4 linked regions of the Tribolium castaneum genome follow. The main gene of each other region encodes a partner of the protein of the gene in region 2 in a complex. Links are inferred from orthologs where the notes say so. Each region holds a gene or a part of one and is shown on either strand. Other genes may lie near its edges. The genes, in order: Polr3I, Polr3C, Polr3K and Polr3F.

The links.
Region 1: Polr3C (region 2) and Polr3I share a complex: the UniProt entries of both Homo sapiens proteins name them as parts of the RNA polymerase III complex. The link is inferred for Tribolium castaneum from reciprocal best matches to the Homo sapiens genes POLR3C and CRCP.
Region 3: Polr3C (region 2) and Polr3K share a complex: the UniProt entries of both Homo sapiens proteins name them as parts of the RNA polymerase III complex. The link is inferred for Tribolium castaneum from reciprocal best matches to the Homo sapiens genes POLR3C and POLR3K.
Region 4: Polr3C (region 2) and Polr3F share a complex: the UniProt entries of both Homo sapiens proteins name them as parts of the RNA polymerase III complex. The link is inferred for Tribolium castaneum from reciprocal best matches to the Homo sapiens genes POLR3C and POLR3F.

The regions. Positions count from the first base shown.
Region 1 is NC_087399.1:3,366,665-3,370,297, reverse strand, and holds Polr3I (DNA-directed RNA polymerase III subunit RPC9), read right to left. Parts: upstream 1,923-3,633; 5' UTR 1,822-1,922; coding exon 1,814-1,821; intron 1,762-1,813; coding exon 1,650-1,761; intron 1,593-1,649; coding exon 1,440-1,592; intron 1,395-1,439; coding exon 1,269-1,394; 3' UTR 1,173-1,268; downstream 1-1,172. Other genes in the region: cell cycle checkpoint protein RAD17, read right to left, coding at 1-93, 153-170; DENR (density-regulated protein homolog), read left to right, coding at 478-573, 620-881, 931-1,070, 1,127-1,171; ATP synthase mitochondrial F1 complex assembly factor 1, read left to right, coding at 1,923-2,759. UniProt on the Homo sapiens protein: DNA-dependent RNA polymerase catalyzes the transcription of DNA into RNA using the four ribonucleoside triphosphates as substrates.
Region 2 is NC_087402.1:6,496,614-6,501,452, reverse strand, and holds the start of Polr3C (DNA-directed RNA polymerase III subunit RPC3), read right to left. Parts: upstream 3,393-4,839; 5' UTR 2,158-3,392; coding exon 2,011-2,157; intron 1,960-2,010; coding exon 1,233-1,959; intron 1,179-1,232; coding exon 667-1,178; intron 1-666. UniProt on the Homo sapiens protein: DNA-dependent RNA polymerase catalyzes the transcription of DNA into RNA using the four ribonucleoside triphosphates as substrates.
Region 3 is NC_087403.1:7,844,094-7,847,376, reverse strand, and holds Polr3K (DNA-directed RNA polymerase III subunit RPC10), read right to left. Parts: upstream 1,352-3,283; 5' UTR 1,267-1,351; coding exon 1,126-1,266; intron 1,075-1,125; coding exon 889-1,074; 3' UTR 886-888; downstream 1-885. Other genes in the region: Plekhm1 (pleckstrin homology domain-containing family M member 1), read right to left, coding at 1-191; Tcs1 (threonylcarbamoyl-AMP synthase), read right to left, coding at 184-885. UniProt on the Homo sapiens protein: Core component of RNA polymerase III (Pol III) which synthesizes small non-coding RNAs using the four ribonucleoside triphosphates as substrates. Can mediate Pol I proofreading of the nascent RNA transcript.
Region 4 is NC_087396.1:20,820,828-20,824,495, forward strand, and holds Polr3F (DNA-directed RNA polymerase III subunit RPC6), read right to left. Parts: upstream 2,008-3,668; coding exon 1,838-2,007; intron 1,788-1,837; coding exon 1,052-1,787; 3' UTR 1,036-1,051; downstream 1-1,035. Other genes in the region: Acf (bromodomain adjacent to zinc finger domain protein 1A), read right to left, coding at 1-13, 70-417, 553-665; mRpL40 (large ribosomal subunit protein mL40), read left to right, coding at 2,096-2,130, 2,179-2,256, 2,301-2,670, 2,713-2,826; Alg12 (dol-P-Man:Man(7)GlcNAc(2)-PP-Dol alpha-1,6-mannosyltransferase), read left to right, coding at 3,163-3,288, 3,331-3,463, 3,511-3,668. UniProt on the Homo sapiens protein: DNA-dependent RNA polymerase catalyzes the transcription of DNA into RNA using the four ribonucleoside triphosphates as substrates.

The sequences.
Region 1 (3,633 bases), on a different chromosome or scaffold from region 2:
GTCCGAAGTGCCGTTTTTCGAAGGGATTGCAGGTTTGGGGGGATGGCCATTCTGGGCCCCGTTTTCCAAGTCAAGCGACAAACCTAACCATTTCTGCAAAAATTATCACTCTGTTACCTTGTCTGCCCGTTTTTAGTTGTGCAAATACACACATTTCCCGTTTTTTTCATGATTTTATTCGAGATTGTTTGAAACTTGTTGACATTCGGATTGACAGTCAGTGGTGCCAGAACGTGACCAATTTCGATTTTAAACAATTAAAACACGTTTAAAAAAATATTTGGGCGCAATTTTCGGTTACAAAATTGGTGGTTGGCCAATTTCTTGAGCCGTATTCAATTAATCGCCCAAAATAATAAATTTTTTGAAAAAATAGTGTCAGTGCTTAGTGAATCAGTGTCGCCAACGCAAGATCTACACGACCGTGTCTATTTTGGGGTTAGGTTTGTTTCTCAAAAATTTCATTTTTTGGCCATAATGTCGGTGGAAGAGAAGCTCCAGATGGGCCCCAGAACGGGGGTGACGTACCCCTTGCAAGTGATCTACTGTGGCAACTGTTCGATGCCGATTGAGGTTAGTTGTCGCCCCTTCAGACCTTCCGAACTAATTCTTGCCCCAGTATTGCGAGTATTACCCCGAGTATGACAAATGCAAACAATGGCTCGAGCGTAACTTGCCCGATGAGTTCGAAAAAGTGAAAATCGGGGACGAGGCGGGCGAGGGAGGTGGCGCTGAAGAGGAAAAAAAGCGTCAGAAACGTGGGGGTAAAGGCATGATCAAGACGAAGAAGAAGGAGGACGGGCCGAAGCAGGTGTGTGTGTCGAGGGCCCCCCGCGGCAAGAAGAAGTCGGTTACCGTGGTTACGGGGCTTAGTGGGTTTGGTAGGGGGGTTAGGGGGCCCTGAGTGTCTTGTTTGACGCGTTTTTGTAGATATTGATCTGAAAGTTGCGGCGAAATTTTTCGGGACCAGGTTTGCGTGTGGGTCTTCAGTCACAGGTGAGGACGAAATTGTGATCCAGGGGGACGTCAAGGACGATTTGTTTGATGTGATTCCCGAAAAATGGCCAGAGGTACCACACTGACCGAAAAAAGTCACTAGTTATAGGGGCACTTGTTTTTGTTGCAGATTGATGAGGACTTGATTGAGGATTTGGGTGACCAAAAGCGATAACTTATCATAAATTCGTGTATTTATACTTATTCTCAATACATTATGTCGTTTTTCACGCCAGTGTTTTATTATTTACTATCCTAATACAATCACAAAATTATTCCTGCTCCTCTGTTGTTTCGTTTTCTTGGCTTTTTTGGATGTGGGGGAAGTGCTGAAGCACGATCTGTAAAATTTGCTCAACTTGTTCTTCCGTGAGCCTTTCTTCACTTTCTTCAATCATCTAGAAAACACACTTAGAAATAGTCAAATTTTGCGTAAGACCAACCAATTGAATCTCTAAAGCCGTCGTAGGGGGCGAATTAATCAGCATTAATTTCTCATTTTTGTTCAAATTAAACGGCTCCAAGTCCTTCAAACACTCAGTAATTGACTGTGGGCTTTGTTGGGCACAAGGAGTATTTTCCAAGTAACGCAAAGTCTACGAAAAAATTGATGAATGAAAGTCGGCCCATTTACGGCCACTTAATCTAATCACCTCATACGTAATCGTCGCTAATTGCCCCTTGTGTTTTTTCCGGCTGTCCTTAATCCGTTGTAGGTGTTTCATAACCTCGAAATTACTCAAAGTCGCGCTGTTTGCATTAACACTGAAAACACGCCTTAATAATACGTTACTCAAACGTAGCAACTTAGTCTTACATTTCCATCGCATTTAATAATAAAATTAAGAGTGCAAATTGCTTTATTTTTATAATTTTTGAACCACAAATTGGTGACAAATCCAAAAAACCCTAAACTTGTCACAAGTATGGCCAGGCTTCCTAACCTAGCTTTTTTGCGATATTTTTCAAAATACTCCTGTAAATTCGTAAGAGGTCTGATGACGACCCAATCGCGGTGCGAAAAGGCCTTGGACGAGCTTTCCAAAAATGCCTACTACGAGAAATACGCGGACAAAATCGCCAAACTACAAAAAACCTCCCCCCAGGAGTTCCTCTCCCGAATGGACGAACTCAAGAAGGCCAAAGCCCCGAAAAAGAAGCCCGAAACGATCACTGAAGGCAAGTTCTCGCAACTATTAAACCCGAAAAAACCGCTCGGTTCTGTGGAGGCCTCGGAGGCCCCCTTAGACAAAGTCATGAAACTTGACTTAATTAAGGATAAAACCCCGGAGGAAATTAAGGAGATTTGGCACCAGTACCACATACAGAAGAACTACATTGCGGCGGTTGTCCCTGTGGAAGATTACAACGAACTGGAGGCAAGGGGGCGCCAATACCCTACGTTTCTCTTCGCCTTGCCTCGCAAAGAGGGTTACGAGTTTATAATGTCGCAGTTTGAGCGAAACTGCGTCCACTTTACCCCCCTTTTGTACTATCAGGTGCACAAGGAGAACGCCCCCGAGTGCCTCACAATGACGCACTACACCGAACTAAAGGACGAGAAAAAAATCGTCTTGATGCGAGGAGAGTACGACAAGAATGTTATTGATTTGAAGGAGGCCCAGTGTCTCGCAAATCAGTTGCAATTGTATTACGTAAGGCCCACAGAAGCACACTTGGAACTGATGGAGCGGTTCACCAAGCGCCCCGACGAGTTCAAACACATGGACTTGATCAAACAAATCGAGACTTTGTCTTTGTAAATATGTATTATTTAATTCCTAATTGTAAATAAAGTTTGAGTGACATAACCTTACTTTTTGAGTTTTATTTCACCCAATTATTTTCTTGTCCCCAATGTTGATACATAAAGTCGATCATAACATAGCAAATGGCACTATGAGTATGAAATTGAGCGTTTTTTCTTGAATTTTACTGCGAAAATATGACATAACCTAATTTTTTGTTGGGCGAAAATTGGACCAATTTCAAATATTATGATAACTCAAAGGTCCTGTATAAAATGCGATTGTGCGAAATTGCCCAAATGATAGAAATTTTGCCGATTTTTATATTTTATTACCGCTTTTCACTATTTACGTACCAACCTACCAAATCCAAAATTTATCATAACTTGATTTTTTTAAATTTTTATCACTTATTTCACTATTTTCCAACACAAAAGTGCGTTATATTAACTTGAGTTACGTTAAAAAATCGAAAATAACAGTAAGGTGGTACAGTTCACGAACTACGGGTCTGTATTTTCTGACAGGCGTACCAACGCACCCAAATTCAAATCCAAATAAAACGCCATTTTACTTAAAATAATTTATTGAAATTAGGCACTTGATTGAGCTTAGAACCTCTCTTTCGGCTTCCTGAACACTTTCCCGTGCTGCGTATCCTCCAAGCAGGGGATTTGCACTAAATTAAAATAAATGGTCCCCATAATGTGCGCCGTGGGCGAGGGATTTTCCTTGAGACACGAATACAGCTGATCGTCGCACAAACAATGCGATTTCGTGTATAACGAATCATTCGTTATGTTATATCTTTGTGAAAAAGCCCTAACTTTAACGGGACACAAATCGTGCGCTCTGCAGCACTTATCAACGGTGGGCTCGGCCCCCAGGT
Region 2 (4,839 bases):
GATACTAACAATCTGCTAGGTTAATAATAGTCATTTACTAAGTGAAATATTGTAAATGCTTGGTAAAATAATCTAAATGCAAAGTGATAATTTTCTTTTAATGAGATTTTCTAAGAAATAATAATAGTAATTACTCCTAATAAAACATATACCTCCCTAAGTATCTAACATCCACTTGCTAAGGTAGATATTTGCTATGCTAGTCAAACAATTTTTGATGTAAAAATTTGATTAAAAACCTCTCTAAAAAATAAAAAGTAGTAGCCCCTCTTCTAATTAATAAAAAAAATTGATTTTTTTTTCTTAAATACTATAAATTATCTTCAGTTGAACTTATGTTTTCACACAGCGTTTATATTTATTTTTTACCTAACAATTACTATTTTCACCCAGCATTTAATTTATTCCAAAAAATTACTGGTAGCAGATGTTAAGTAAACCATATGAAAATGAATGATTTTCTGGCTTTCATAATCGTCAAAAAATAATCAATTGAAAGAGTACTTAAAATAATATTACTAAAGATTATATAAATTTAACAATGTGAGCTCCTATACAGACATGTGCGGACAGATATTTTGTCGGTTATTTATCCGCAATAATATTGTTCGGACAAATGTGCAGACGGCTAACCACGGCCAAAATATAAAAATAAGAAAAACTTACGTCAGATAATTGCTCGTCTGCCGCCCCCTGTGCCCTCATCCCCATAATAATCGTGTCAACACGTTGTTTCTTATCGATAATTCTCTTATGAACCAACCTTTCGTGATTTTTTCTAGTCATAATATTAAATAAAGTTTTATAACACAATTCTAGAGTCATTCGCACGATTTGGTCCAAGTTTGTATAAAACAAAGTGAAGCTTTTATTAGGACCATTACTGGTCGATTTTTTCAAATCCTGGACTTGCAAAAAATTCTCTTCCAGGAGCTGATAAGAGAGCCGTTTTGCTTCTTTAGCCGGAATCATTGCCAGTTGTTGAATCTGATCCGGTTCTATGTATTGTTTCGACTTAACAAGACGGAAAATCCGGGCGGCTTTAGTATCGAATTTTTCCAAAACTATCTGTTCCACAGTCTCCCATGCAAATTGAGTGAACGTCTCTTTCAGAAAAATTTGAAAAGAACCGCCACCTGCCTCTCCCGACTGTCTAATTAATTTAGAACTGTCTTGCTCTAAAAAAAAATATTTGGACTGGCAACAACTTTGACTAACGACTAATGACTAACCCAAGACATTAACGTATTGGTCAAAAAACGCCAAAAGGTGTTGATGAGTGGCTTGTTTCCTTACAAGGTCCCGAATTTCAACAATAGGGACTGGATTCGAGACCTCAGCCCAAGGCTGTGTCCTAATGTACATTTGTTGTAGCAAAAGTCTGACAAATTCACCCGCGTTTTCGTCAAACTTTTTAATAAAAGCATTCACAATTAATTTGTCTCTCATGTCTTGATGAAACCTATCGAAGTTAACAGTCCAGTAAACGCCCTGGTCAGGGAGAGAATCCACTGGTGCTTTATTGCTCTGAACTAAGGCAATTTGTTTAAAATCAATTGTCGGAGGTGCAAACTGTTCCGTCTCTTTTATCACTAAACTAGGAACAGGTTTATCTTCCATACTATACGGCAACCGTATCAAATATTGCGCGGCCAACAATGAAAAAAATTTTTCTCTTAAAGCTAAAATTGTCACGTTTTTGTTATGATCTTTTTTCAGTCTCTCAATCACTTTCAGGATTAATTCAGACGCCGTCCAGTAGCTCCGCTGTAGCAATTCTTCCATAATTAATTCACACTCAGTCCCAAATTTCTTTTTAATTAAATTAATGTATTTGGCGTAGCGCAACATTAATAAAACACGCTCATGTTGCAGTGTATAATTTGCAACGTTTTCATTGCGATTGGGGGTGAACGTGACCAATCTGTACTTTATTAAAATACATAAAGCTTCCTTGACCTACAATTAATAAAATAAGGGGCAAAAAGTGCACAGTTTCATTTAAAATACCTTAGATATGGGCAAATCTGTGTGCTTTTTGATGTACAGAAGGGGCACAGTTCCGTACTGAAACAAGTAAGTGCCCACCTTCTCGACCACGGGGCCGAAACGTTCGAGTAAAATAAGGGAAACTACCCTTCCGTATTGAATCGACATCGGGATCAAATAAAAAATATTGCAATGTGATTACTTAGAAAAAATTAGGTTAGGCTGCTTGTCAAAATGTAGAAATACAGGTTTCTTTGTTACCGGGAAAATAATCAGTGGTCCGTGGGTTTTAATTTAATTTAATTAGGAACTAATTTATTGTTTCTTAGTGCAAAGCAACCTAATTCGAATTACTTTAAGTTGGAATTAAAAGTTTCATTTGCTTCGTCTAGGCCATACACTTGTTATATATTTGGTTGCATAAGCAGTTTTTGAATCCTGAATAATAAACTTTTTTTATTGTTAAATATGCAAACGCTTGCCTAAATACATTTTTAAATCGGCAATCGAATTGATTTATTGTTAAAAAACCTGCCACAAGTCCATTAACTGATGTAAATTATTGGCAATAAATAATCCTAATTACATACAGGCATCGGGCCTTCAATTCAGTTTTGAAATTTTTCAATAATAATTTTGTAATTGAGTCTCGTGAAAAATTCATTAGGCATAGGCGCTAAGAAGGTGTAACCTCCATATGCAATTTTTAAATTGTTTACAAATAAGTTTATTAAAAATTTATAAGCAGAAGGTGATGATGAGGTGCGATTTATAGAAACAGATGCGTCGTCGGCTTGTGGGTTTACGAATCCATATTTATGAGATTGTTCATAATTCAATTAATTACAAATTATTCATATAATTTATGTCGTTTTGACTTTACCATTGTGCAACTCCGATGATGGTTTACTTATAAATTGTACTTGCAACTCGACTTTACTACTTTATTAAAAAAAACACGTGGACTTGTAGGTGGCTTAAATCACGACTACTCAAAACACAAATCCGCTTATTAAAAAATAAAGTAAATAAAATTTGAATAAACAAATTTAAGGTCACACATGTGAATAATTGCACAAAATGTTGGCTCCGCCACACCCTCAAATCGTTACTACAAAAAAGTCATAAACAAATGACATCAATTCAATTAGTAAATCAATATAAAAGTAGCAAGTCACGTAAAATAATCCAGAAAAAAATTTAATATCAAGTTTTTTAACCCAGTCATATACAGCAGGTCCATAAATTATTGCCTAAGTAGATGTGACAGGAAGGGGAGCTAGACGGCTTGGTAACAAAAACTGCACGCATGACAAATGATACCGGTCGATTTAAACCGAATTCCTTCATGCCATGAATAAACCGGCAGTGATTCTCAAAACCCACCACAAAAGAAGATTTAACATATTTTAACTCATTAAAAAAATATGAAACTGTGGTGGCTCCTAAACCTGAATATTTTACCCAAAGTAGCCTAAGACTTGAAATTAAGTTGGCAACGTTGACACGAAATTGAAGAGCCCAATGTTGCCAATTTAATTCGATCGTCGTAGGCCACTTGATGACAATGGCATTCTGATATGATCTGCGCCGCCCCCAAACTTAATTTAAATGTTTATTGAAGCATAAGTCGCCTGAAGAAAATATCATCGATCGCCTCGGAAGCTGCAGCAGCCTATGGAAAAGCTTACCTACTCCCACTCTCTTTTTGTGCTTTATCCTCCCGTGTATTCGATAGCGAAAGCGTGCTGTAGAAACAACTGAACATCGCTCACACAGCGTGTCTAGTCGCCGGTGGATTGTGATGTTCTAAATTTTCTCGTCTCGCCGTCTAGATCCTGTCAGAAATTTTAAAATTTCGACGTTTCATGTGACAGTGACAGCATCTAATGAATTAAAGTCACAGTGAATTTTATTTTACGAGCAAAAAATAATGAAATAACTAGAGTCGGTCTAAAGTGTCGTCTACCTGTACGAGGGGTAAGTGGGATTTTCTCTACTTAAATTATTTACCTAGAAGTCTAATGCCTGGCGAGTGGTTTTAATTAAATTTATAGTCCTGCATTTCTAAAAACCATAAAGATATAAAAGTGTCCTCGGTGAGTTATTGCTTGATAAAGACACTTTAATGAGTTGAAAAGTTAAGTAATATTTAAAATAAATTACTTTAATGTCTGTCATTAAACAATTTTCATTCCTCAAATTTCTGGTGCATTTTTCTGTACAAGTTAATTATGTTGTTCAAACCATACCGGTTACGTGTAGGGGAAATAGTAATTAAGCTCTCCAACCCCTTGACATCACGCCCTCGTCTGTATTGTCTAGACCTGAAGTTATTAGAACTAGTTGTTAACAAACCAAAAATATCTTCAAATCACGATAAACTGTCTTTTTCTTAAAAAAAACCTTATCTTTTTGGAATTAACTGATACCAATGTTTGCCCAAAAATATGGCTAAACAATCAAATGCCAGTTCCCTAAGTAAGGACTACATTTACTTTTAAACCAACATTTGCATACTGTAATTATAATAATTTAAATAATAATGATTAATCTGTCTATTAACTGGAGATTAAACTGTCTGGGCTTGTTTATTTATCTCCTGACACCTTTGAAATTAATGTATTGTTACATAATTAATTTGTTTAACAAGGAAAAATAGTCATTATTTTTTCTTTATAGTCGGATTATATGTTCTGTTGCTTTAATTAAACGAACAAATTGTATAATAATCGGCGAGAAATGAAGTTGTGTATAAACTTTTACAATGGCAATTGCTGATAAAATGTTTGAATGCAATTTCAGATAAATATTTGATTCTAACACACCTATTTCATAATATCTGATAAT
Region 3 (3,283 bases), on a different chromosome or scaffold from region 2:
AAAATAGCTTCAATCGTCATACACAGCGTGTTCGAAGCTTCGGTAACATCCTCAGCTTTATTGAGTCCATTTTCTTCAACTCCGCAATACTGTATCGCTTTCACACTATTCGACAAGTGATCCGTGATCGACTTCTTAATTAAATTGTCTTTATTACTCGACGTGTGCACACTTTTAAACAACTTATTCATGTTTGTTAATTAACCCGAACTTGTGCAAAATCGCAACAGTTTTATCAACCGCAATACCGTGTCGCACGATTGTGAACAAACCGCATTCTGATAAGTCAATAACGGTGGACGCACGTCGTCTCGAATCGTCAAGTCCTAAATTACCACCGTCAAAAACTGCACCAACCTGAGCCCACAAGTCTTGAAATTCGTTGATTGTTAACGAACTTGGCTCGTTGCTTAAATTGGCACTTGTGAGGGCCAAAGGGCGTCCCAAACCGCGGGCCAAAGCCCGAATAAAGTGATAATCGGGGATTCGAATCCCCACTTTAGCGTTAAAACTGAGTGACTTATCAAGTGTGCTTGCACTAGTCAGAATGACAGTCACTGGGCCTGGGAGCAGACTTTCGAGCAAACCTTGGGGCAAGTGCCCGATTTTGGCCCAAGCCTTCACCTGGGGGACGTCCCCGAGACAGATCGCCACAGGTTTGGCTTCGTTGCGCCCCTTAATGCTATAGAGTTTGTTAATTGAGGTTATGTTCGTCGCGTCACAGGCAAGTCCGTAGACGGTGTCCGTAGGGAGGGCGATCACGCGGCCCGACTTTAACAAATCAACGGCTAAAGCCTCAGCATGTGGGTCCCTGATGGGGACGTGCAATGCCATAGAAGCCCGCTTCGGGGAGAGTTTTTTGAAAAGGGGGGCGAAAAAACGCATCGCCTACTCTCGCCAGTTGTGGGCGCATTCGGGGTTGCAGCAGCGGTAGAAGTTGGTCATGGGCTCGTCAGCAGAGCGGGTCTGGACCTGGAGGAAGTAGGCGTGGGGGTGGCTGCATTCTGGACACGTTTCCGCTGTTACGTCGCAGTTTTTCCAGGCGTCTTCGCCGCCGAGCACGTCATCAACGGACTGAAAGCGTGACGGAGTTGGAACAATGATAGTGGGTTATTTGGGTTTTACCTTCACTTGGAAGTACGTGCGATTCGAGATTTTTCCACGAATGGGGAATGACACGGGGCAGATGCGACACGCAAAACCTAATCGGCCGCAGGTCTGTTGAGCGAATAGCAAATTTCCACAGAAAGGACAAAACACAACCATGACCCGTGATTATTATGATGAAATTCAACTTGAATTCACATGTGTCAAAAATTGACAATGACAGCGCACGGTGGGTTGGCAGCGCTGGGGCGAGGGCACCAACACAAAATTCGTATTCTATTTTATTTAAATTATAAATTATAACAAATATTCAGCCACTTACGGCCTTAGTTATTTTGTCAACTAATTACTTCACTAATTTGCTCCGCTTTTTATATAGTCGAATTAAATAAGACATATTTTCAATTAAAATAAACAAGGACAATTTTACAATGATTAATTTAATTTAAAATAATATGGTTCAAACATTTTCCTATACCACATTACTTAACTAAGTAATAAAAAAATTATAAGAATTACAAAGAAAAATAATTAAAAACGTTGTGTTTTATGGGTTGCCTATACTAAACTCGGTGGTATTGAGCACTTGGTTCATTTTGTTAATTTCGTTTTAAAGGTTTTGATTTTTATCTCTCTCGCTAAATGAGAATTCAATATAATTTTTTCAATTTTCCTGACAAAAAAAATAAACACTATGGTAATTGGTTCAAAATCATTAGGATAATTTACAAGGGCCGTAGCCAGCGTAGGGCCCCACAGGGCGAAGCCCTTCCTAAACAAATTTCAGGTCATACGTTTTATAAAAATTTAAATAGAGAAGTTTATAATATTTTTTTTTCTTTCTTTGTTATTACTTAAGTAAATTTTGAAATAGACATCATTTTAGCTATTTCAAAAACACCATAAACATGGATGTTTTTTATTTTTTAAAGTTGAAGCGACAGAGGGTCATCAGATGGACATGCAACATCAAGTATGCATTTTTTTTTTAAGAAAAATATATCTAGTAATAATTATTACTCCACTTGGATTTTGACTTATTTTTAGCAAAATTTAATAACAAACGAGAAAGGAAATTAAGCTTTATGAATTATGTTAGGGGAAATACCTACAAAATAACATACATCGTTTGGCAAAAGTATGAAGCTAATTGTTATGTGCCTAAACTATGTACTTTAAGAAAAACTAATTATTACATTATCAACTACTTTAAAAATATTTTTTTAATTCCTTTTAGTTTTCGATTTTTTTTTCAAATAGCACCCTACTACGGCAATTTATTTTTATATTATATTTATATTTTTTATATTATTTATATTTTGTTTTTCTTCGTTTGTTATGTATTTTTGATCCTTTATAAACTTCATTAATAATAATTTACCAACATGAGTACATTTAAATTTTCTTTGCCCTTCTATTATTCTATTCTACGAGGGTGGGATGATTAAGTCGTGGCCTCACATAGAAAATAATAATTTGGCCAAACATTTTTTGCTTTACTTTTCACTATAACCTCCTTCTAGTTATGTGCACTTGGTCAATCGGTGTTCCGAAGTCTTTATCCCATCCTTATGGGTCGATTCCGGTAACTCTTCAAAAAAATTGCTCTCTATAAGAGACCACGAATTAATCCATCCTTGTATTGATAATTCAGGGAGAAATAAGCCTCATTTAAAAAAAATACAAAAACTAATTTTTGACACTACAGAAGCGATATGTAGAAGATTTCTTATTACAGTTGAAATACTCAATACAGTCGTTCCTTTTTGATGTTTGATCATTGATCAATGATCATATTCTAACTCACACAGTGCACATTTCCTACAGTGCCGTACTGAGCCTCGGATTCGTGGAACACGGGCCCGGGTCCCGATGGCCCTTTCCTTTGTCTAAATACAAATTAAAAAAAAAATAAAAGTTATAATATTTTTTATTAGCCGTTAAAATTAGATTAGAAAGACAAAAAATTGTTTTGTCTGCTTATGAGTACCAAGACTTTTCAATCTCCCCAGAAAAAATAATTAGAAACGGTGGATTTTCTTTATATTACAGTTACACAGGTATAATACCTACCCAATAAATTACAATTGCCTAAAAACATCAGGTGTACAAACTAACATCAACGACTTCAATGTTTATGAATAAATAACTTTGTTAAAATTGTCAACAATTAAAA
Region 4 (3,668 bases), on a different chromosome or scaffold from region 2:
GTCATTGGTGTTTCTAACGGTTTGTGATTAAAATGACGCAATTTGGCGTTTTAGTATCAGGGGACTTACCCGTTTTTTGTCGGCGATTTGGTTTGTTTGTTTGGGGGCGGTATGACTTGTAGCACGTGCGAGTCCTTCCACTTGGTTTCCGTGAACGAGGTTTCCACGTTTTCGCCGATAAAGTACCTGTCTTTGGTGAACAAGTACACGTCTTCGGCCATGTCAACAAAGGACGTCCGTTTTGTCTGACTCGCCAAGTACAGGAGTGGTATTTTGAGCTCAGCTGGGAACTCTTTGAGGCTTTTCCTCGCGTTTTCCTCGCTTTCCAGCGCCTCGGCATACGTTAAATTCGGTTTTCCCGTCATCGCACATGTCCAAATCATCGAATTGCACAGGAACATCCTCTCGGAGAAGTCCCTGAAAAGCCAAGCGTTGAATCGATTCCGATCTCCGATTGCGTTAAATTTGAGGTCGATGGCGTAGGTACAGTGGACCGTTAGGTCAAGCGTTTGAAAGCAACCACGTTCCAAATAACCCGCCGCAAAAACTCACTCGTAATCCCGGAAAATCTCGTTGGTGGCCCCACAGTAGAAAACTTCCTCGTCATCGCGGATATCCTCCGGGACCGGCGCTTTTTCGAAGGGCTTTCTCCTCAAAAGAGGCATCGCAATTTGGAGGGAAAACTCACGACTCCACAACAAGTCTAATCAGAATTGCTCCCACATTTACAACACACACAACGCAACACTGATGGATTAGCAACCAAATCTGACATGAAATGGCGAGATTCAAAGCGAACTAACCGAAAATTTCCGCAATAAAATTGCGTTTCTCACACCATTCATGACAAACAGACAACCTCTTCGGCTTCGGGGCTCCGGCGCATGCGCGGAGCGCAGGTGACTGCCAAAAGCTGTGCCCAAGAACGGACATTTAAAAAACCTGCGACCACCAAAATGTTCCACACTTTTTTGTGGTTATGTTCCCCCACAAACATAACCTTAATTAATTAATACGGGATAAAAAAAACACCAGTTTGTTGCGAAACACTTTATTCGAGCCATTCCGTGAAATAATTACAAACTTTCGGGTTAATAAAACCGGTATCGGCGCACCTGCTGGCTATGGGGCAAACCCCACAAGTGGTTGTCACAATGCCAGGTGTTTGCATAAATTTATTGACCGCTCGGTACAAAAACGAGCCGTTCGTGGCCACAATCCGCTCCGCGTTATTATCCAAAACAACAGTATACAAAATGCTCTCAATATCGTCCACTGACAGCGAAATTTTACTAATCCCCAGCTCGGAAATAAATTTGTGGACGTCTTGCGCCGTGGCGTAGCTCCGGTTTCGGGCCAGGAGCGGGCCGCCCCCCATGCTGTTCGCATCCTCCCACTTCTGGCGCAAATACCGGCAGCACTGTTGGCTCAAAACGTCCACAAACTCCGACTCGAAGTCCTGGTCCTGGTACCAGGCGCCCCCCGTGACCGAACTGTCGGCCTCCAAGTCGTACAACATGTACACTTTTTTCTTACTGGCCGAGACTGACTTTACGGCTTTGATTATTTTTTTCGTCTCGAGACTTTTGAGGACTTTGTTTAGTTGCGTCATGTTGAGGTTGGACTTGAAGCGAATGTCTCGAATCCAAATGCCCTTGTTGCCAGCCTCTTCGATTATCTTAAACACGACTTTTTCCTCGTTGTCGGCCCCCCGAATGGCGGGCTTCTTCGACGAGTCTTTGTATTTGTAGAGGAGCTTGTCTTTGGTCTTGAACAACTCCAAGGAACTGAAAATTTTGGTTAGGAATAGAATTAGGGGGTGATTGCGCCCACGAACCCATTTTTTAAACACTTGTTGATTATCAGGGCGAGTTCTTCGAGGGGTAAATTAGGAATTGCCTGTTTTATGTTCTCGTTTGAAATCCCCTCAGGCTTGGCCTTGGCTAATTCCAGTAAACGGTCTTCGTTACTTATCTCTTCGCTGTTTGAACTCGTAGCTTGGCTCATTTTTGGGGTTATGTGAGGTTATGTTCTAACCTCAAAATTTTGGCCTATTTCTATTTTTGCCGATTTTTTTTAGGAAAAAAGGCAAGAAATGAGCGCCTGGTCTTTGATAAACACATTTAATAGGTGTGGTATAAGTTTGGAGTAATTGGCACTAACTGTGACATTTTTTAGGCTAGCCCTCCAGTCGTGCCCAAGACGGGGAATTGCAACGAGTGTCTTTCTCAATTTTAGGGCAACACCATGTCTCATGTAAGTAATAACGAAACGAGGCCCCCAATTCACCAATTATCTAGGGCCGAGCCTTTGAAGAAGAAGAAAAAACTAGACCCTGCAGTTATTAAAGCACGAGAAGACCGCAAGAAGAAGAAAATTGAGAAGCAAATCCGGCGATTGGAGAAGCACGCGCGCCAGTTCAAACCTATCGAAGAGTGTGAAGTGCCCCTCACTCTGTTAGATGAGAAAAAATCAAGGATGAGGTCTTTGCCTGCACTTTCTGACAGTGAATTGGAACAAAGAGCACTTTTGGACAAACAATGGGCCACTTATCGGAAAAATGAGCATCTTACGGACGTCCAAATGCTGGACCGGATTTTCTTTGCGCAACAAAAAGCCTTGGATGAGCTGCGGAAAGAGTCGGAGGAGTTGTATCAGGAAGCAATGCAGGTGACTGGGGCTTTTTTTCGCAAAATATATTTTTTTGTCCAGATTGATTTCAGATTATTGCCCTTTAAGAGCGAGGGGCCTTTGGAAACGCCAGCTATCGACAATTACGAAAGCCCGGACGGTGATTATGCCGATGTTTCGAAAAAATGGGAATGAAAAGGAAATAAATAAAGTAGGATAATAATAAATAGACAAAATTTGTTTTATTCACACTTCAAAATCACTTCAAATTCACACTTTTTATTATTGTTTACGTAACAAATTACGTGTCCGACCGTTTCAAAATAATAAAAATTGCCCCTATTGTTGGTAATTTGATGGTAAAATTGTCTCAAGGCGCCCTAAACCCCAAACCCAGCACAATGATCCCAGTTCCGGACCGAAGAGATAAAATAAATTTAGCTTATTTACGTCAGCTCATTTGAAATTGTAGGTTAGGTGAATCTATTTTCGTCCAAAATTCAAGAATGTAGATAAAAATTAGCCCCCGAAATGGTGCAAATAATGCTAATTATCGCCGCCGCCCATTTGGTATACTGCCCATTTACCAAAGTGGAGGAAAGCTTCAATTTACAGGCCATGCACGATATTTTGTACCACAAGTGGAACCTGTCTCAGGTAGGCGCCCCTTGTCTCGCCCACAAATAACTGTGTTTCTAGTACGACCATTTGGAGTTCCCCGGAGTGGTGCCGCGGACGTTCATCGGCCCCTTGTTCATTTCGATTTTGGTGGCCCCCATAGTCTCGCTTTTGCAGTTGTTCGAAATTAACAAATTTTGGGCGCAATATATCGGTAATCAAGTTGAAAAATAGTACAAAAATTGTGATTTTTTATTACAGTGCGGTTTGCTTTGGGGGGCTGCGTTATCGCCGCTTTCCACGTCCTGTCCCGCACTTTGGCCAAGATTTTCGGGCCGAAGTGGCAGCTGTGGTTCATGGCAGTGACGGTGACCCAGAGCCACTTTATGTTTTACTTGAGCCGGCCCTTGCCCAACATT